3 linked regions of the Elephas maximus indicus genome follow. The protein of the gene in region 3 purifies or fractionates together with the protein of the main gene of each other region. This does not show direct contact. Links are inferred from orthologs where the notes say so. Each region holds a gene or a part of one and is shown on either strand. Other genes may lie near its edges.

Region 1 (7,504 bases), on a different chromosome or scaffold from region 3:
GTGTTAGAAACTTTTGGAGATAAAACAAAAGAAGTTCTGGATGATGCTATAAAAATGGTTAACCTTATCAAACCAAGACCAGTTCACTGTGGCATTTAAGCAGTATTTAAAAAAAAAAAAATTTTTTTTTTTTTTTAAGCTGTGTTTAAAACTGTGTTGGACAAAGACAACACAAATCTCCTGCCATGTGCATGAATCTTGTGGCTTAGCAGATCATTTGTTCTGGGAGAAGCCAGCTGACACGTCATGAGAATATTCAAGTCCTTAATCTCTGTGAAGAGGTCCATGTGGTGAGGAAACGAGGTCTCCTGCCAACAGGCAGCATCAACTTGCTAGGAATGTGAGTGAGCCACCTCGGAAATGATTCTCCAGCCCCAGTCAAGTCTTCAGATGACTGTAGTCCCCATGGACATCTTGACGGAAACTTCATGAAACCCTGGGCCAGAACAACCCAGCTGAATTGCTCCTGAATTTCTGACCCACAAATTGTGCAAGATAAATATTTATTGTTTTAAGCCACTAAGTGTTGGAGTAATTTCTTATACAGAAAGAAAAACTGATACTGATTTTGGTTCTTTACAGGATGTTTGAGCTGAAAGGTGACCTGTTAGAAATACTTTCAAGAAAATAGTAAGCCAGATTTTGTCAAGTGCTTTGACGATAAAGATGGCTGCAGAAACTAGTTAGCAGATATTTTTCACCACATGAACTACTTAAAGATGGAGAAAATATTTTACTTCAAGTGATAAGATTTTTGGGGTTAAATGGAAACTGAGTCTTTGGGAAAATCATACTGCAAAAGGAAATCTTGAAATGTTCCCACTGCTGCTTAGATTTGAAAGTGAGAAGTCTCAAGTGTTATTGAAGACCACCTGAGGGGATTGGAGAACAAAATTAAACAGCATTTTTCCTTCCCTTTCAACAGAAATATATGACTGGATGAGGGTTTATTTCTCTGAGTCTTCTTCTCAGCCTGAGAATCTGAGAGAAGAGGAAGAATTATTCTCTGTATAAACATAAGATGAAATGTACTGATCTGCCCTCTACAAGTTCTGGATTTCTGTGAAGGAAATTCATAGGAACACAAATACATGTTTTACTGTACTTTTCAACTTCTCACATGTGAGCAAACCTTTTCTTGTCTCAGGAGCATTAAGAGCAAAGGCAGAAATCATTTCATATCAGTTGAAAATAAAATCTGTGTGTGCCAATCTTAAGTTTGACTCAGAATTGAGCATCTGTGCAGCAAAAGATAAGCAAAGGTTTCACACGAATTAGGCAAATTTCAGTATTTTTCGTTTCAAAAGTAACACTTTATGCATATATAGGCCTATAAAAAGAGATCAAGAAATCAACACATGTGCATAATTTTGTAACTGCTAGGCCTATATTTAGGAGCCTTGGTGGTGCAATTAAGTGTTCGACTGCTAACTCCAAGGCTGGTGGTTTGAACCTACCCAGCAGCTCTGTAGAAGAAAGCTCTGACGATCTGCTACCATAAAGATTACAGCCAGAAAACCCTATGGGACAGTTATATACTACGTCACATAGGGTTGCTATGAGTCAAAATCGACTCAGCGAAACCTAACAACAACAGGCCTATATTTGAGTCTGATCAAGTCACTGAGTAAGAAAATGTATTTTCAAAGTCTTAAGTAAAATTATGTCTTGGGCTATATTTTTACTATTGCTTTGGTTTGTGATTTTAGTAGCTTCACTCTTCCACATTCTCAATACTTTTTTCATTTTGTAAACAACATTAATAAAAATCAATTTGAAGCCTTTACTAAATTTAAATTAGATCTACTGAGCCTACCTTAAAAAAAAATAAAATCCATTTTGCCTGAGGCCAGTTACTCAACAGAAAGTTATGATGTTTGCCATATAAATATTTATAGTTTATAAAAAGGAAGGAGCCCGGGTGGCACAGTGGTTAAGAGCTTGGCTGCTAACCAAAAGGTCAGCAGTTTGAATCCACCAGCTGCTCCTTGGAAACACTAAGGGGCAGTTTTACTCTGTCCCATAGGGTTGCTATGAGTCAGAATCGACTTGAATGCAACGGGTTTGGAAACCCTGGTGGCGTAGTAAAGTGCTATGGCTGCTAACCAAAGGGTCAGCAATTCGAATCCGCCAGATGCTCCTTGGAAACTCTATGGGGCAGTTCTATTCTGTCCTATAGGGTCACTATGAGTTGGAATTGACTTGACGGCACTGGGTTTGGTTTTGGTTTATAAAAAGGAAAGAGATTAATCTCAAGAAAAGTAAGCTAAGCTTAACCTGTTGTCCCCCCCCCCCCCCCGCAACCCCTTCAAGAAAGTTTGGCTAAAAAGTCATTTTCAGTTTTAAATAGAGGGAAAAACCTACTTCTGCACATATCATATACCGCATACCATACCTCGTTAGCATCTTATATAGCAGAAATTTGTGAATACTTTTAGGCCTATTTGGGTAAGATTTAAAAATTCAAGGTTTTTTTTTTTTTTAAAGAAAAGCTGAGGTTTCCTTTCTCATTTAATTTGCATTAGAGTTGATATTCTTTGTGAGGAGGGAGAGCTACAGAGTAGGCTAACAAGCTGGACAAAAATAAACAGATTCATAGAAAAACATCATTATTTACTCAAAAGAGCACTGACAATTATCATTGGATTGTGGAGCACAGTTCTACTCCTGACACACATAGAGTTGCCATGAGCGAAATCGCCAGGATAGCAGCTGGTTTTTTATTTACAACTTCTTGATCATGCTAACATACTGTGGTCTGTATATATAATAATTTTTATGTAGGGGTTCCTGAGACATGAAAAAATTTTTAAGAGTTCCTCAGGTAAAAAGAAAAAGGCCAGTCGAGTGGATGGAAAATGGAGCTTTTCCAAGCAAGTGTTTGACAAAGGGACAGCACAAGATGCAAGGCATGCAGGCTGTCTGGTGATGATGCTGGCCTGCTGGAACGGAGGAATGGTATATAACACAGGAGGGAAACACAACTAATTATATAAAGTTTTATATAGAATGTGGAGATTTTATTTTAGACTCAATGCTAAAGGGAACAGGAAGCTGTTTTGGGTCCTGGGGATGGATATGACATGCGGGAACTGATTTGGAAAGTTCAATATGTCATCATATGCAGTACAGATGACGGGAGGAAGAGTGTAGCCTCGAAGCATAGTTTGAGGTAACCAAGATGCTCAAAATGTGACAGGATGTTGTGATTCACTGTTATTTCTGGTCTTTTGAATTCTTGCACATTTTATAGGGTGATCTAGGGTAGAGATAACATAAGAAAATTTGGCAGCGACAACAGGAGGCCTGTAATAGGTTGTTGACAGTACAAAGCTACCTTAGAAGGAATTAACAGAAATTGCTAGCTTCGGATAAAAGACTGGATTGTGGATAGGTGGTAGGGAAGAAGGAGAGTGCTGAAAGGTTTGAGTCCAAATATTTAGAAAACAAGAGTATGATTGTATCATGAAGACAAACAGAGATTTGGAAACATGAACATTTTGGCAAGAGGAAAGCGGGATGGGTAGAGAAGGACTGAGGACTGTGAAAACCCATTTCAAGTTTCTTTCTAACCAGCTGGGAAAGTTACTTTGCTTCTTGGAATGTCATTTCCTTACTTGTAGAATAAAGGTGGTAGGCTCCAGGTGCTCTTGAAGGTCCCAAAAAAGTTCAATGATTTCATCATACTGAGTTGGAGATAGTAGTGGGACACCAAAAGGAGATAAAAGACCAAACTTAAGTGACACAAAAGTAAAACAGCATGGCAGGTATGAGTAATTTTACTCCCGTATGACAGAATTTAAGTACATTTATCGAATCTGAATTAAAGCTACATTTATCAAATTCATTTTGTATACAGAACTCAGGTGTCTCTCAAAGAGCTTTTAAGTTAGTGTAGAAGACATACTATAATTTCTAACATTTCTATAGTGGAGTTCACAAAGTTCTTTCAAAATCTCACTTAAACTTATAATTGCCTTCTGAAATAGGTGCCAATCCTCACTCTCTTTCAAAGAAGGGATGGTCAGCAATGTCAAATATCAAGAAAAGGTCGCAGAGAATTCGGGTGTAAAAGAATCCAACCAAAGCTAACTAATCGGAAGTTATACAAGCTTTCTTTGGGAGAGAAGTTTTAGCTGGTGGAGGGAAGCTGAAGACAGATGTAGCGAAGGCTGAAGGAGGGAAGGGGGTGAGGGGCAACCAGTATAGGTTGGGGCACAGCCTAACACCAGGTCTATGCTCAAAAAGTACTTGACACATGAATAAACTACCTGGTACCAAAAAAAAAAAGTTTGGCTTTCTATCAGATAATGTAGTTTCTTTAAACGTATATACATATAAATACACATTGTTTTTCTTCCTGCAGCTAGTGAAATCACAGGACAAAAGCACAAGAACAGTTCAGTCCACAATGGTGCGTACTTCAAAAGAACCGGAAAAAACAAAGAATTCCGGAACAAAGAACGCAGACGAGCCCGTCACTGGTTGTGACAGGTTCCGACGCGGCCAGATCCACCTCTGGGCAGAGCGCGGATCAAGAGTCCTCAGAGCTGTGACTGCACGGTTGCTAGAGCGGACAATGAACTGAAGAGCGAGGTCGGGGATCATGTTACTGCCCGAGAAGCTACAGCGCGCGGCCAGTCCGCAGTGACCGCTGGAGCGAACGTGCTCCAAATAGTACCCTCCTGGCTCCCGGGAGAGGTGGCAGAGCCCTAACGCCATCCATCTCCAAGGGCAACAGCGCAGCGGCACTTCCTTTAACGTCATGATGCAAAGGACGCTACCTACGTCACTTCCTCTGCCCGTCGTCAGGCAAGTTGACGTAATTGTTGTAAACTAGCGTTTGAAGCTTGATATCGCTCTTACTTTTACGGGGATGAAACCTGTTTTAGAAAGGTGAAATCGTCGCTGGTCTCGCTGGTGACTGGCTCCTTTTGGCTGGTCAGTTATTCCAACTTCCGGTCGGGGCATTTCCCCCCTCCCACTCTACGCAGATACGGTGGCCGAGGAGGCTCGCGGGTGGTGGAAGTACCGGGAAAGTGGGTGTGCGTGCACCGTCCGGGCCAGAGGTGCACGTGGCGCCGGTAAGTGGCTTTAGGAAGCCCGAAGATCTGAGCGTTCTGGATGTGGAGCGCAGCCAGGGAAGGAGGGAGGAAGGGAGGAAGGGAATGTAGCATGAAGACCTCGGTGCCAGCTGGGGGAGGAGGTACTAACCCTAGGGCGACGAGGATGGTGAGTGGTCGGCGCCCGAAGGTCCATGGAGAGGTGCCACGGCTCACTCCTCGTGTTCGTCACAGGTGCCTTGGCCGTGAGTGGGGTGGTAGGGCTGACCATTATCACTGTCCCCTTTTATGGTTTTCTGACCGAGGCTCAGATGAGTTAGGTGGTGTATCCAGAGGCTACAGTGACCTGAAGGCACGTACCGTTTTTCTCACCAGGTAGGAGAGAGCATGTCTTTTCGAGGCGGAGGTCGTGGAGGCTTTAATCGAGGTGGTGGAGGTGGCGGCTTCAGTCGCGGCGGCGGCAGCAACAACCACTTCCGAGGTGGAGGCGGCGGCAATTTCAGAGGCGGCAGCGGCGGCGGCAGAGGCGGATTTGGACGAGGGGGTGGCCGTGGAGGCTTTAACAAATTCCAAGACCAAGGACCTCCAGAACGTGTAGTTTGTATGTCAGCTCAATGCATGGCTTCTTTGGGACTTGGGGCTTGTGTTGTTAGTCAGAAAGTTTGACTTGGAGTCAGGTGTTATCGTAGGGAAGTTGCTGCTTGCTTGGGGAGGCAAGTCTGTTAGTGAGTAATGTTGTTAACTGACTTATAATCATGCTGTAGCATATGAGGGGGAGACCAAGAAGGTGAAGGACACTTAGAATGCATCATGGAAGTGGAACTTGAGCTTTGACAGAAAGGAAGAGTTGTCAGGAGTCATCGAGTTGGTTCCAGCTTATAGTGACCATGTATACAACAGAACGAATCACTGGTTCTTCGCAGCGTTCAGTCGTTGTTTTGCTTGAGCCCATCCTTGCAGCCATTTCAGTTGAAGGTCTTCCTCTCTTTCCCTGACCGAAGCATGATGTCCTTTTCCAGGGACTGGTCCCTCTTACTAACACGTCCAAAGTAATTGAGAGAAAGTCTCACCATTCTTGCTTCTAAGGAGCATTCTGGCTGTACTTCCAAGACAGATTTGTTTTTTCTGCTGGCAGTCCATGGTGTATCCCCTGTTCTTCGCCAAACATCGTAATTCAAATGCGTCATGTCTTCTTTGGTTTTCCTTTTTACTTGTCCAGCTTTCATATGCATAAGACCCGTAAGAGGCAATTGAAAATACCATGGCTTGAGTCAGGCACACTTCAGCTCTCAGTGACATTTTTGCTTTTTAGCACTTTAAAGAGGTCTTTCGCAGCAGATTTGTCTAATGTAATACGTTGTTTGATTTCTTGACTGCTACCTCCATGGACATTGATTGGGATCCAAGTAAAATGAAATCCTTGGCAACTTCAATCCTTTCTCTGTTTATCGTGGTGTTGCTTATTGAGCCAGTGTGAAGATTTTTGTTTTCTTTATGTTGAGATGTCATCCTCAACTTGCATCAGTAATTGTTTCAAGTCCTCTTCGCTTTCAGCAAAAAGGGATTGTATCATCTGCATACTGCAGGTTGTTAATGAGTCTTCCTCTAATCCTGATGCTGAGTCCTTCATATAGCCCACCTTCTCGGATTATTTGCTCAGCATATAGATTTAATAAGTATGGTGAAAGGATACAACCATGATGCATACCTTTCCTGATTTTAAACCATGTAGAATCCCCTTGTTCTGTTCGAATGACCGCCTCTTGGTCTATGTACAAGGCTCCACATGAGCACAATCATGTGCTCTGGAATTCCCTTTTTTTGCATATATAATTTATGATCCACAGAGTTGAATGCCTTTGCATAGTCAATAAAACACAGGTAAACATCTTTCTGGTATTCTCGGCTTTCAGCCAATAGAGGCTGTTTGAAATTCCAAACATTCTTGAACAATTGAAGAGTCATTGGTGAAGAGGTGGTAGTGGGAATGGGTATGTTTTAACAGAGAAGAAAAAAAGGCAATAGAGAAACAAAGACTGATTCATAGTTAGGGATTGGGGAGAAGGAAGAGAAGTCAGGAGAATGAAGCGTTGTTTAATCAAATAATAAGTGTCATTCTAGTAAAGAAATAAAACAACATTCATTATCCCACTTAATCTTCACAATACCATACATTAGATGGAGGTACCATTATTAGCCACATATTAAAGATGAGGACGTCGAAGCAGACAGAGAGTGGGTAACTTAGATCACATAGTTAGTACATTGTGGAATTGGTATACCAGCCTAGAAAGTCTGATTCCAGAGTCTATACTCTCATTGACTGTTATCTTTTGGCTTAGATGATAATAGTTATGATGACATCCCAGGAAGCCAAGAAGAAAGCCTTCAGAAGAGGTTGGTCAGTATCATTTGAAATAGCTTTATATATTAACCTTTTC
Region 2 (7,800 bases), on a different chromosome or scaffold from region 3:
AGACATCCTTCTGGTATTCTCTGCTTTCAGCCAGGATCCATCTGACATCAGCAATGATATCCCTGGTTCCATGTCCTCTTCTGAAACCTACCTAAACTTCTGGCAGTTCCCTGTCAATATACTGCTGCAGCCTTTTTTGAATGATTTTCAGCAAAATTTTGCTTGTGTGTGATATTGATGATATTGTTCTATAATTTCCACATTCAGTTGGATCACCTTTCTTGGGAATAGGCATAAATATGGATCTCTTCCAGTCAGTTGGCCAGGAAGCTCTCTTCCATATTTCTTGGCATAGATGAGTGAGCACCTCCAGCGCTGCATCTGTTTGTTGAAACATCTCAATCGATATTCCATCAATTCCTGGAGCTTTGTTTTTCGCCAATGCCTTCAGAGTAGCTTGGACTTCTTCCTTCAGTACCATCGGTGCCTGATCATATGCCACCTCTTGAAATGGTTGAATATCGACTAATTCTTTTTGGTATAATGACTCTGTGTATTCCTTCCATCTTTTTTTTTTTATGCTTCCTGGATCATTTAATATTTTCCCCATGGAATCCTTCACTATTGCAACTCGAGGCTTGAATTTTTCCTACAAATTAGATGGTACAAAATTCCTGTATCTTGAGGTTATTAATGATAATTAAATGAGACTCATGTAAAGTCCATAAACCAGCACCTGATAGAGACTGAGTGATGAAGATGATGGCGAACGTGAAGGTGACGGTAATTCTGCAGTTCTGCACACCACAGAAACTGAACCAGGTCAATACGATGAATCTACCAGCTTGTTTTTAGAAAAAAAGTACTGGCCAAACCAGTAACTATTTAGGCTGCACAGCCAGCTTCCCCCAACCCACCACCCAAAAATGAAACAAAACCAAACAAATAAAAAAAGCAAATAACCCCCAAATCAAAAGACTCCTCAATAGCAGGCGGCCATAGAAAGAGAGGGGGCGGAGAGCTGGTGGGAAGACACACTGACCCAGACACAAGGTTGCCTGGGAAGTAGTAGTAAACATCTTTGTTTGCACTTTCCTATTTTTAGGATCAGAGGTTTCTGAAGATTTCCTGAGCACCTCACAAATAAAGTGTTACCTTCAGAAGATTTCCTAGGTCCCAGGCAGAAAGAAGATTCACAAAACTCGGCTCATGATCAGTTTTAAAAATTAGGTTCTGGTTACCGATTCTTACTGGAAGAGAAACTGAGATTTCAGGATGACCGTGCAGTTGGTCATCATTCATAAGGAGGGAGAAGAAAAGACCTGAAGGAGCACAGAGGAAAACACTCAACCTGAATCCAGAAAGGAAATTTTATATGTGGAACTGATGAATCATAACATAACCCAATAGGCAAAACAGCTAATTAGGTGGTAATTGTGTCAAATCAACAACTCACAGCTCAACAGATTAAACTCAAATGACACACATTCCTAAGGATATTTATGGGTAACTAAATCATCTAAGATAAAGACTCTCTAATCACTTACACCAGAGTAGAAAATCGCACAAACATCAATGCCAAATTTCATGCTAATATTCAATACAATTTTAGAAATTTCAAAAATAACTGAGGACAACAACAAATGTCTTTGCTTCCAGCAAGTGAAATCCCGCCATCTCAGCCTGCTAAGACAGTGACACGGTAGTTTGAAATGTATTGAGAAGAAGATTCAAGATAAAAGTGGAATTGATAATCGAAACACTGACTCTCTAAGGAAATATCTCGACCGATTTCTTTTTTTCCAGGAGTCAGCCATACTAAATACTTTAATAAAAGCATAAAAAGTATGGAACCAGTTCTTCTATAATATTATGCCATTCAACGGCTTTCCCCCACACTTGTTTCCCACATCCTCAGGAGCCAGAAAAAAAATGTATTTAAAAGTATATATTTTTTGTAGTCAAAGGCTGCCTGTTATCCAGCCTCCTTTTTCCACAGCAAGGATTCCACCAGCAGAAGTACAACCTTCTTTCCCAAGCCTGAACCTTCACGCAGAATGCAAAAGCACAGGACATCATAATTGGTCAGTTTCAGAAAAAAAAGTTGGAATTTGATATTGAACAGTTTTGCTACCTTGAATGGTGATAACATCTATTAAAGACTAATGGGCCTGAGAAGACTCATGACTCATTTAATGTAAACCCCTCAATTACGCACCATTTCTGGTGGGTTGATATTAGAAACAATGCCAACATCACAAACATAATCACATTTTTATCTGTCATAAATGGTAAATATGATGATATGAAGTGTATTATTTATAGAAACAGCTGAACAGCCTTAAAAAACTCCGTTTCAAGCTACACTGGTGTATTTTCAAATTGCTTGTCGTAAAGAACTATTATTAAAGATGGTATAACCCAAAAGAAAGAAAGAAAACCAACAGCAAGGGTTTAAATAGCAACTTCTGTCATTGAAAATAATTCATCTTTGTTTCATTTGAGTCTGGGTCCTGCTAATAGTACGACTCAGGATTTCTCCCTCACATGCAAGAGGATCAGCTGGAACAGAGGCACATATGGCAAGGCCTGCACACAGCACAGGGTGCGGGAAGATAGTTTTCCATCAAACAATTGCATTTGGCACTTTTCTTCTTCCACAAAGAGGGAAATCAGCAGCTTAAACATTAAATTCAGAACTCACCCATGTTATTCATGTTCCAAAGCCCCAAGATAACATTTTTCCAGAAGATGGGCAGGTCCATGTTCCATGTTCCAAGAAGCAGTGAGACAGGAAGACAAAAAAGGGAGAGAGAAAAAACATTTTAGGAATAAACCAACAAATGAAGGTGACTTACCCACAAACTAAGCATGCTGATAAGAGTTCCCTCCTTTCAAGAAACTTCCCCACTGCCAAGACATGGTGGATTATGGAGTAAGTTGTAGAAAAACAGGGTAGATAATTCATAAGAGATCCAAAGGGATCTCTCTTTAACCTTTTCATTAAACACTCACAAATAAAAACCACAGTTGAATATGCAATAGATGTTTCCAGAAAGATGATATGAAAGAGTTGTATGAATGTATAGGAACATAAAAATAATTAAAGCAAGACTGGACTAAAATAGAGAAAAAAAAACTGCTTCAAGGTAAAGACTTAGGTTGACTAAATATAATAATCAGAAAACTCAGTAAAATGAGTTACATATTCCACCAAGGATTTAACTAAAATAAATCTAATTAGACAACAACAAAGATTAGAATGTATAACCCAACTTAGAGGTGCTTCAGATCAGAACCACAGAATTTGGCTTCTTCAAAGAAAAGACTAAAGAAGTAGTATTATTATCTTTTTTTTTAAATCGAAGTCCAGAAAAAAAATTTTTTACATAGCACAAAATTTCTAGGAGATGAAGATGGCAGAATAGCCAGATGCTTCTGGTGATCCCTCTTACAACAAAGACCCAAAAAATCAAGTGAAACGATTACATTTATGACAAGCCAGGAGCCCTGAATATCAAAGGCAAAGTTAGAAAACAGTCTGAGAGGCAGAGGGAGAAAGAGACGGTTCAGAAACAAAGAGGAGTTGCCAGACCTGAATCGTCGGGATCCCTCAGGCACCATTCCCGGATGCAGCAGCAGTGGGCTGATAGTAGCGTTCAGCCGCAGTTTCCCCAGGGAGAAGCAGCCAGCTGCACAGCCTACTCACACCTCCAGAGCCAAGGAAGAACGGCACTCTCGGCAAAAGCTAAGTACTTGCGTATATTTTACTGTGCCCCCAGCTCTTGGCCGGCTTCTGTGGCTGGTGATTTCCCCAGGCCTGAGAGAGGCCAATCTGAGCACATTGAGCCATGCTCCCAGCCTTGGAGAAGGAATAAATTCACAACTGGGGGAAAAGATAATTTGCCAGCTCCACCACCCAAGGGGAGCTCAGGACAGAAGTGGCTCCTGTCCAGGCATAAATGATCCGTGGACTTTGAATACCTTTCCCCCCTGCATGGAACTGTGTGGGCTGATTTGAGGACAATAGGCCCTTGATGGCAGACTGCAATTGTTTAAGCTGTATGGTAGAGAGGTGGGTGTTTGATATTTGACTCTGCTTTGCCTATTAATAGGGTCCTCACCTACCCACATCAGGGGTCTAAAGACTGGTGGCTCCACTCAGGTCACCCAGCCACCTGAGACAGAGGCCTAAGGATAATGGGTACCTCCGAGTCCTTACAAACAAAAGCACTGGGTGCCCATGGTCCATCTGCAGAATCCACCCACCTGTATGCTCTAGGGAACAGGGACACACTTTCCTCACAGACACTCAGGGAACAGTTCTCAGCCCCCTGCCTTGTTCAGAGCATGACCCCTGCTGCAACTAGATACCAGTACCTACACCAAACACCCCTACCCCTCTAAGATGGTAGGACAGAGCCTGTACCACACACTTGATGACCAGCTACCCAGACACCTGAGCTGAATCCACACAAGAAAAGTGAATGAACTCATAAGCTCATTTACCTGATAAGAGCTCTAGCCATGTGGTGACAGGATATCAGAGCTCCAAAGGCGAAAATAATCAAGGTAGCTCACTCAAGCAACCCATTTGGGCATATCAAAACAAAACAAAGCAAGAAACTAGGATACAGTAAGCAAACATAAAATAAACTAATACAATGACTTATAGATGGCCCGGAGACAACAGTCCATATCAAACCACATAAAGAAACAGACCACGATCTCTTCAATGAGCTCTCGAAACAGAAAATCAAAGGATCTCCTGGACGAAGGTGCCTTCCTGGAATTACCGGATGCAGAATTCAAAAGATTAATATATAGAACTCTTCAAGACATCAGGAAGGAGATCAGGCAATATGCAGAACAAGCCAAGGAACACAAAGATAAAGCAATTGAAGAAATTAAAAAGGTTATTTAAGAAAATAGTGTAAAATTTAGTAAGCTACAAGAACCCATAGAGAGACAGCAATTAGAATTTCAGAAGATTAACAATAAAATTACAGAACCAGACAGCTCAACAGAAAGTCACAGGAGCACAACTGAGCAAGTGGAAGGCAGAATCAGTGACCTTGAATATAAAGCACTTGGAACGAATATATTTGAAGAAAAATCAGGTAAACGTATTTAAAAAAATAAAGAAAACTTAAGACTCATGTGGGACTCTATCAAGAGAAATAACCTACGAGTGATTGGAGTACCAGAACAGGGAGGGATAACAGAAAATACAGAGAGAATTGTTAAAGATTTTTTGGCAGAAAACTTCCCTGATATCCTGAAAGATGAGAAGATATCAATCCAAGATGCTCATCGAACTCCACATAAGGTAGATTATAAAAGAAAGTCACCAAGACATATTAAAATCAAACTTGCCAAAACCAAAGATAAGAGAGAATTTTAAGAGCAGCTGGGGATAAACAAAAAGTGACCTACAAAGGACAGTCAATAAGGACAAGCTCAGACTATTTGGCAGAAACCATGGAGGCAAAAAGGCAATGAATGGGATGACTTACATAAAGCCTTGAAGGAAAAAAACTGCCTGCCAAGAATCATAAATCCAGCAAAACTGTCTCTCAAATATGAAGGTGAAGTTAAAACATTTCCAGATAAACAGAAGTTTAGGGAATTTGTAAAAACCAAACCAAAACTACAAGAAATACTAAAGGGAGTTCTTTGGTTAGAAAATCAATAATATCAGGTATCAACCCAAGACTAGAAGACTAGACAGAGCAATCAGATGTTAACCCAGACAGGGAAATCACAAAAATAAAACAAGATAAAAAAAAAACACTCAAAACAGGGAAACAGCAAAATCATTACGTAAAAGAAGACAACATTAAAATAACAAAGAGGAACTAAGAAACGTAGTCATAGATCTTTCACATGGAGAGGAAGACAAGGAGATATAAAGAAATAAAAGTTACATTTAAACTTAGAAAAATAGGGGTAAATATGAAGGTAACCAAAAAGGAGAATAACAATCCTACCCATCAAAATAAAATACAAGGAAAAAATAGAGACTCAGCAGAAACAAAATCAAAGACACAAGATAAGTATGAGCCCAACAGGCAGAAAGGTCCACATAAACCAGAGACTACATTAACCTGAGACCAGAAGAACTAGATGGTGCCCAGCTACATCCAATGACTGCCCTGACAGGGAACACAACAGAGAACCCCTGAGGGAGCAGGAGAGCAGTGGGATGCAGACCCCAAATTCTCATAAAAAGACCAGACTTAATGGTCTAACTGAGACTAGACTGACCCCTGAAGTCATGTTCCCTAGACCTTCTGTTAGCACAAGACAGGAACCATTCCGAAACCCAACTCTTCAGACAGGGATTGGACTGGACTATGGGATATATAATTATACTCGTGAAGAATGAGCTTCTTGGATCAAGTAGACACATGAGACTATGTGGGCTCCTCCTCTCTGAAGGGGAGATGAGGGGGTAGAGGGGGTCAGAAGCTGGCTGAATGGACATGAAAACAGAGTGGAGGGAAGGAGTGTGCTCTCGTTAGGGGGAGAGCAGTTAGTAGTATGTAGCAAGGTGTTATAATTTTTGTATGAGAATCCGACTTGATTTGTAAAATTTCTCTTAAAGCACAATAAAAGTTAAAAAAAAAATTTCTAGGAGCCATTGTTAGTCTTACAAGTTACAATAATTGCTCTATGAGGTAAGAAATTTCACAGCATAAAATCACATAAAATACATTTTCAAGGAGCTGGAACACCCCAGACTGAAAGCTCATGCATCATGGGCTTTCCACAGAAACAGTCACCTTGGAAAACCCGTCTGCTACTAGCTTACGCAAGGACCCTGTGATCTTCAGGTCCACATAGGCCTCCAGGACCTCTGGCTTACAGATGTACACTACTAATCAGGCCCATCCAAAGTCGCCATCGAAGTGCTGCTTGAAACTATGTGGCTGCCCTGTGCAGACCCAATCTTCAAAGGAAAGAATGAATAAGCAAACAACCGATGTAAAGTTTCATAAAGGCGGCAAATTTAATAGAACCATCAGCTATTAACTCAAGAAACTGATCGTTCCATCAGCACTCAACTGCTAACAGAAAAGTTGGAGGTTTGAGTCCACCCAAAGGTCCCTAAAAGAAAAGCCTGGTGATCTACTTCTGAAAAATCAGCTACCAAAAACCCTATGAGGCAGAGTTCTACTCTAACACGCGAGGTCACCAGAAGTTGGAGTCGACTCGACAGCAAATGGTTTATCAGTAGCTGGTAGGATGAGGGTAGGTGCCTAATGGTCATTGGAAGCAATCATAACAGCCCTGCCTACCAAGACCACAAATGAGCCAGTCGTCAGTACCGACCACATAGCCCTCCAAGACTACAGGGAAGCTGCCCTCTCCTGAGTCCTCCCCATTCTATCCTCATCCACAGACACCTTGGAAAGAGTCTATGCAAGGTCTTCCTAAGGTCCTTCAGATATTTTCAAAGTTAATAACTTGGGATGTGAACCAGTGTTGTGTTTTTAATCTACACTCCTTGCTCCTGGTAGTGAATGGTGGATTTTCTTCTCATTGCAGGCATGCAAGCTTGAATTCTACTGGCCGAAGATATAGCTGACCTTCTCTCAGACTCTAACTAATGCTATTCGCCAAAGAATCAGAAAAGGGAACACACTGGTGCATAAATTAAATGCTATGGTGGAGGCATCGACTTGAGGGCACTGGGGTATGGTGGAAGTAAGCCTAAATATCAGCCTTCAAAGGCCTTCTGTCCAGTTTCTCTCACTGTGCCCTGTATACCTGGGCCTCTCTCACAGGGGGCTGATCTCCCAGGAAGAGAACACAAGTCCACAGAGGTAGGACATAGGGACTATGAAGTATGGGTTC
Region 3 (7,204 bases):
TAGATGAAATACAGTGAAAATGCTCCTTAGATGCAAGGATGGCGTGACTTTGGCTCACTTACTTTGGACACGTCATCAGGAAAGACCAATCACTAGAAAAGGACACCATGTTTGGTAAAACAGAGGATCAGCGAGAACAGGGGAAGCCTTCAATGAGATGGAGTGACACAATAGCCAAAATAATGGACTCGAACATACCAACAATCACGAAGTGGGCAACTTTTCGTTTTGTTAGACATAAGGTCTCATGAGTTGGAGCCCACTCGATGGCAACTAACAACAACAGTTTTTAAGACTCAAAGTCAGTATTCTTTCTACGACAGCTTCTTCTAATTTAAAGATGCAAGTAATGACCCCACTAAGCTTGCATGCTAAATAAACACTCGGTCTCACCGTTTCTTGGGTTACTAGTTACTATTTCAACCAGTCATTTCTGATTTCTATCTGAAAACCAAATTAACAGCAGAGAAAGTCAATTCCCTAAGTCACAGAGTATCCCGTTTGTAATATTTTTGTAATAGATTTAATTTCCTTTTAATGATAAATTAATATGTTTATCAAAGAAAACAAAGAAAAGAAAAAAAAATTAAACAGCAGCCCCACCATTCAGAGATAACCACCATTTTAGTGCATTTCCCTTTAGTATTTTTTATTTGCAGATTAAAAAAAAAAATTATGATCTTTATGAATAAAGATCCTTCATAATAAATTTGAGTTTATAAAACCGAACAAAACACTTCATAATTTGTAAACACCAGATGATCCAGGTGTGCAAGAAGTTTTGAGGGAGAGTGAAGAGCAGAATTTTTGCTCCTGGGTCAGCAGTGGCAGCTGATGGAACATTGGAGGTTTTCAATAGAGAAAGGCAATGGCAACTGAGGAAGCAGTAGCAGGAGAATTGGTACCATTTTGGCCCTAAACCCTAACTGACAGGCTTTGAAATTTATTGTCTCCCAAATTGTTATGTCTGGTCAGGAGATCTCTGGCACCGTATGTTATAATGTCAGCTGCTTTCTTGAATTTAAATTACTGTCTTCTTCAGACTCTTTCTGGCATCTGAAAGAATGAATGCCTGCTAACAAGGCGAAGTTGTGGCATTTATGGGATGATCACCTTTGAAGCCCAGCTGTGAGGAAGACCAGGCCACATCGACAGGCTATGTATAGGTATTCCAGTTGATATCCCCGTCTTAGTTATTTAGTGCTGCTTTAACAAAGACAAATTTATTCTCTCACAGTCTAGGAGGCTAGAAGTCTGGATTCAGGGTGTCAGCTCCAGGAGAAGGCTTTCTCTCTCTGTCAGTTCTGGATGAAGGTCCTTGTCATCAATCTTCCCCTGGTCTAGTTGCTTTTCAGTGCAGGGATCTCAGGTACAAAGGACACGCGCTCCTGGCTCTTCTTGGTTGGTAGTAACGAAGTCCCCATGTTTCTCTGCTCACTTCTCTCTTTTAGATCTCAAAAGAGGTTGACTTAAGATACAACTTAATCTTGTAGATTGAGTTCTGGCTTTTTTTTTCTTCTTTTAATCCTGCCTCGTTAATATCATAGATGTAGAATTTACAGCACACAGGAAAATCACATCAGATGACAAAATGGTGGACAATCACATAATACTGGGAGTCATGGCCTAGCCATGTTGATGCACATTTTTGGAGGACACAATTCAATCTGCAACTGTCCCCAGTGAGGTTCCAGCTGACAGCCACCATCAATTGTCAGGCTCGGAAAGAGGAAATTTGGGGAATCTCTAACCTATCTATTCCTCGTACATATTTTCAACCAGTTCACCTACTTCCAACTCCATCTATCACCCTCAAGGATATAACCTTACTAGATCATACTCTTCTTACTCTCAAGGATATAACCTTAAGAGTAAGATGAGTATGATCTAGTAAGAATGCATACATACAAAGCTTAATCCTTACTATCACTAGAAAGGAGAAATACCTTTATAACCCTATCTAGTTCTAATAGGTGGTGGTTTGTAGTGAAAACTCTGGACTTTTCATAAAAAGGCATGAATATAATTTCTAGCTCAGTACTAGTAATGTAGCATTCATCAGGTCACTTAAGTTCTCTGATTCTGTTTCCTTATCTTTAAAATGGGCATAATAATAGTCACCCTCCTTACTTCACAGAATTACCCTAAGGATCAAAGAAGATAATGAGTGAGAAAGCATTTTTTTTTAAAGTAAAAGACTGTTCAAATGTGAGATTTATTCAGTGCCTACTACTTGTATTAGCCACAGAGATTTATATAAGAAACAGAAAGCACAAATCTTGTTCTTTATATTCTTAGTGATATGCCATAGTTTGCTTTCACAAACATTTACGTGATCGCATCCTTCTGAGCCTAGCACTGTACCAGGTGCTTGAAGACCTCCTTGTTGTAAGTCAGATCCCTATTCTTCAGTTATAAAGCATGGATGAAGTGTTTTGCCATTAGACAATCACTCTTTAAAAACAACACTATGAAAACTAGGTCAAGTTGCTATGAAATTATCAGATACTGGTGTTAGCCAATTTTCTTCCAGTGTTATTTGGGGGATTCCATTTCTGAGCAAAGTGTTGGATGTTTCACTAAGTAACCGGCCACATCTAAATGTCCTTTGGGTAACCTTAAATTTGCCATTTCCCAAATTAAATTTGATAGCTACTCTCAAAACCTCTGCCTCCTCCTGAATTCTCCATCTTGGAGAAATGAACTAGCATCCACTCAATCACTAACTGAAAATTTAGAAATAATCTTTGAAGTAGCCCTGGAATCTGTTCCCATCTCCATCCTTACTGCCATTCTCTCATCTATACTATGGCAACAACTCCCTAATACCCTGCCTGCTCACTGTCTCCCTCCTCCAGCCCATCCTTCAAACTACTACTAATCCCAGTTTAAAAATGTAATCCTAGTTTAAAAATCTAACATTTCCCTAGCTGTTTACAAGATAAAAATTAGATTCCTCACATGTCGGTCCTCCAGGGTTAACAGTCCTATGGCATAGGTATGATCATATTGAAGTTACAGGTAAGAAAAGAGGAACCTAGAAAGACTGAGTGGCTTGGATTCCACTAGGTTTCTCACGCCAAACTCTTGCTCTTGAATTTAATGCCTCAGGTTTCTCATCTGCAAAATTCAATCAATAGCAACTTCTTCATAAAGTTGTCCTAAAGAGTAAAATAATACTGTGTGCGCTGGAGTCTATTCCAACTCACAGCGACCCTATAGGGCAGATGGGGTTTTCTAGACCATAATCTTTACGGGAACAGATAGTCAGGTCTTTTCTCCCTCAGAGAGGTTGAGGTTCAAACTGCCAAACTTTAGCTTAGCACCAGAGCCTTAACCACTGCACCACCACGGCTACTTAAATGAACTAATAACATGGACAACGTGCCTAGAACAGTGCCTGGCACATAACGCTCATTAACCTTATTTTACTATGATGATTTTTAAAGGTTTTATTGCTCTAATGAAGACTGGTGAATTTTTTTTTTTAATCAGCGACCCATCTCCTTACTGACAATAGTCAGCTCTTCTCCCTGAGTTAATTTTACCTCTCTGTGCTCTTTTGCCCACCTGAGACGTGGGGATGCGTCGCTCGTGCAATATGACAGTGTCAGGACCTAGACTGCTGTCTGGTGCACGGCTGTACAAAGTCGATGTGTGAACAACCCCGGGTGAGGCGGGACCAGGAGAGTAAAGCTTTGAACCCAATTAGGAGACTTCTGACATCTAGACATGTGCTGTTTCTACTCCGTGTGTGACCTCAGACAAGGAACTCCACGTCTCGGGCCTCCATTTCCTCTTTTGTAGTAAAAGAGATAATAATACTCCTCGTGCTTCCTCTCTCGCAGGGTTGTTGTGACAACCTCGAAACAAGAGGCGGGAGAAAGCTTCGTCATTCCAGGCCGAAGAGTCTCAAAATGGGGGGAGGGGGAAGGAGAGAAGGGGGGGGGGGGCAAGGTATCACGTGACACACTCGGCAAGGCATCACGTGACAAACTCGGCAAGGTCTTGGGAAACCTCCGAGCGTTTTTCCTAGAACGGCTCATCTCTATGGTTGGCGGCCGCGCAAATGCCTGTCCAGAAGGTTGTTCTTCCGGGGCGATTGCGGCTGCTTCCGGGGCGGGACGCGGCGAGCTGGGTTTACAGTCATCTCAGCTCCCGCCAGGCCCGTATCTCGATGCTCCCTGTTGCAATGAGCTTCCTTAAAAGTTTCCCGCCACCTGGCCCGGCTGAGGGGCTTCGGCAGCAGCAGCCAGATACTGAGGCTGTGTTGGACGGGAAGGGCCTCGGCACCGGAACCCTTTACATCGCTGAGAGGTAGGGTCCCTGTTACCGAGCTCTGGCCTCCTGCGCGCTGCCTTCTCCCTCGCACCGGCGGCGCCGAGGAACAGGAGAGAGACTGCGACCACGGTGGCTGCTGGGAGGGGCAGTGTGTGGTCCGCATCACCTTGGGGATGCCTCTGCTGGGAGGAAGACTCGTTTGTTCGTGTGTCTCCTGCCCCAGAGCATTTCTTTCTCTATTTCAGACGGAGTTTTCCTCCCTGATTGTGCTTTCTATCCGCCTACAAACTGGAGGTCTGGCGCGTGCGTTGCTCCTTACTCATGGGCATGGTTTTGAGTTTCTAGGCCCTGACTTCGTGTCCTATGAACAAGTGCGGGACAGGTTGCCCTGGGCAGGATGTGTAGGTTCAGTACAGGTTGTAGAGGATTTTGAATGTCTAGTTAAAAGAGTTTAGTTTTTTTCTGTAAGTGTGGGTGGGGAGAGGTGCACCCCTGACCCAAGGCTAGGGTCATAATCAAAGGGATCTGACTCACATTTCTTGGCCCTAGAGTGGATTTCTCTTTTCTTTTGCCATCTGAAACGCTTTGTACTTTCACAGTCAGACATGTCTTAAATTGAATACTTATTATCAGCCTTGCTTGTTTTAAAACAAATAACCCCAAAGATGTGTCAGATTCGACCTGCGACTCCCAGGAGTTTATTCTCTACTTGAGGATTAAGTATGTGAACAGTTAAATAAGTTAGCGAAGTATTGGGACTATAACAAGGCAACTGGAGATTAATAGTTAAGTGAGTAGTACAGATAGTGCTGGGGGATGGGGAAGTTCAGAGTAGGGAAGAATCACCGTAAGGAGAGGGGAGGTTGTAGAACAGGGTCTCTTAATTTGGTTTAAATGTAGGGCCTTTAAGGGGGTCTGTGAACCCCAGAAGTTACATGTAGGGTTTGACTGCATTGTTTTTGTGGTCTCTGACATTAGATTCTAAAGGAGTTCAGTGACCCCAAAAAACTTTAAAAGGACTTATTTATAAGGAAGGATGACCTGGAGGGAAAGTAGGATGTATAATATCACTGCTGTCGAGTCGATCCTGACTCATAGTGACCCTATAGGACAGAAGAGAACTGCCCCATAGAGTTTCCACGGAGCATCTGGTGAATTCAAACTGCCAGCCTTTTGGTTTGCAGCCGTAGCTCTTAACTACTACGCCATGTGGGGAGGAAATAGGGAAATATCAATAAATAGGCAAAAGTCCCAGAAACCTTCAAATACAAGGGCAAATTTAGGGCTAGTAGTTGGCTTTGTTTGCAACACGCAGACCCTCAGGGAACTCAGGTATTCTTTTCCCAGGTAGGCGCAGGACTCTATGTATAGACAGACACACTTTTTTCTTCCTCTTTTTTTTTAGTCGTACTTTAGATGAAATTTTATAGAACAAATTAGCTTCTCATTAAACAGTTAGTACACGTATTGTTTCATGGCATAGGTTAATAGCTCTATGACATGTCAACACTCTCCCTTCTCTACCTTGGGTTCCCTGTTACCAGCTTTAGACACACACACTTTTATTTAAGGAACATCTGAAATTATATTTGTTTAAGCAGGTCCAGTCCCATCTTTTCCATCCTCCCTGCCACTCTTTCATCCTTAAAAAAAAAGAGAGAGATGGAAATCCTAGTTACCTAGGTCACCTTTGTTATTTCATGGCCTGACCTTTACCCTAAAAATAGTTATACTCTGCCAGGTATCACTCTTTCCCACTTTCACAAAGTGGTATTCAAATAGAAAACTATGCTTATCATTTTTTTTTCCCCTTTGGTAATCTGCTAAGGGGCTTCAGTTTTTTCACTTGCATGCTTTCAAACTCAACCAGGCCCTCACTCCTTTTTATCCCTTTATTTGACTGTTTCAGATTTCTAATTTCATTGCCCATGTTCATGGCCCACATTTCCATACATTTCCAGCCTCTCTCCCTTTATCCCCCATCCCCTATCCCTGCCCCTTATGTAGATGATGGGAGCTTAAAATTCTCCTTGGCAGCTCACCTTCTCAGTCTTTTTTACTGGGTCAGCTTTATCTCCCTGAACTCTAAATGTTAGAGTGCCGTCATAGTAAAAGCCAAAGATCGGACTTCACAATTGCTTACAAGGCCCTCATGATCTTACTGCCTCCCGCAACCTCTCTAACCTCATCTACTACTTTTTCCTTCAACTGCTCTGTTCCAGACACATTGACTTCCTTGTTTTTCCCCAAAGTTGCCATACATGCACCCACCAAGGTCAGTTTCCAACAAACATGCTGCCATTTTGGTACCTTCGCACGTACTGTTACTACCCCATATGTCCACATAACTTGTTTCTATATTTCTTTCAGGTCTCTGCCAAAAAACCAGCTAGCTTATCAGTGAAGTGTTTCCTTAATCACCCTATATAAATTAGCTCCCCATTCCCATCTGTAAAGTCCCTTTACCTGCCTCTCCTTGCTTTATTTTTCTCCGTAGTACTTACACTATCAGACATATTACATACAATATCCTTTACTGTCAGAATGTGTTGGGTTCTTGAGTAGTTTACTGAAAAGGTTTTTTTTTTTTTCCTATGAATTCACAGCCAAACTAACTCAAATGAGAATTTTCATTAGAACTGGCTGAAGTTTAACGTTTTTCTGAAAATCAATTTCTAGATTGGCTTGGTAAAGAATCTTCATCAATCTAAACTACCCATGTCTAATAGGCATGTCAAACCATGGCATGACCAGAAGAAAATTCCTGTTTTCCTCTTTAAAAGTTGATTCTCCTTCAGTGTTCACTATCATCCTTCCAGTTGTTCACATCAGAAGCCTTGGAGTTATTTTTTGACTTGTTCCTTTCATACCCATGTAGGCAATCCTCAGAAAACCCTGTTGTGTCTGTCATAAAACATAGCCA

The links.
Region 1: the proteins of CLNS1A (region 3) and GAR1 purify together in Homo sapiens (affinity purification with mass spectrometry; 3 studies listed by BioGRID and IntAct, counting the BioPlex papers as one, with this or other methods). This does not show direct contact. The link is inferred for Elephas maximus indicus from reciprocal best matches to the Homo sapiens genes CLNS1A and GAR1.
Region 2: the proteins of CLNS1A (region 3) and EPB41L3 purify together in Homo sapiens (affinity purification with mass spectrometry; 3 studies listed by BioGRID and IntAct, with this or other methods). This does not show direct contact. The link is inferred for Elephas maximus indicus from reciprocal best matches to the Homo sapiens genes CLNS1A and EPB41L3.

What each region holds. Positions count from the first base shown.
Region 1 is NC_064823.1:41,299,193-41,306,696, reverse strand, and holds the start of GAR1 (H/ACA ribonucleoprotein complex subunit 1), read left to right. Parts: upstream 1-4,417; 5' UTR 4,418-4,812; intron 4,813-4,827; exon of another isoform or gene 4,828-5,084; intron 5,085-5,438; 5' UTR 5,439-5,450; coding exon 5,451-5,664; intron 5,665-7,504. UniProt on the Homo sapiens protein: Required for ribosome biogenesis and telomere maintenance. Part of the H/ACA small nucleolar ribonucleoprotein (H/ACA snoRNP) complex, which catalyzes pseudouridylation of rRNA.
Region 2 is NC_064829.1:23,598,160-23,605,959, forward strand, and holds the start of EPB41L3 (band 4.1-like protein 3), read right to left. Parts: upstream 3,010-7,800; 5' UTR 2,706-3,009; coding exon 2,645-2,705; intron 1-2,644. UniProt on the Homo sapiens protein: Tumor suppressor that inhibits cell proliferation and promotes apoptosis. Modulates the activity of protein arginine N-methyltransferases, including PRMT3 and PRMT5.
Region 3 is NC_064825.1:44,460,449-44,467,652, forward strand, and holds the start of CLNS1A (methylosome subunit pICln), read left to right. Parts: upstream 1-4,112; 5' UTR 4,113-4,177; coding exon 4,178-4,317; intron 4,318-7,204. UniProt on the Homo sapiens protein: Involved in both the assembly of spliceosomal snRNPs and the methylation of Sm proteins.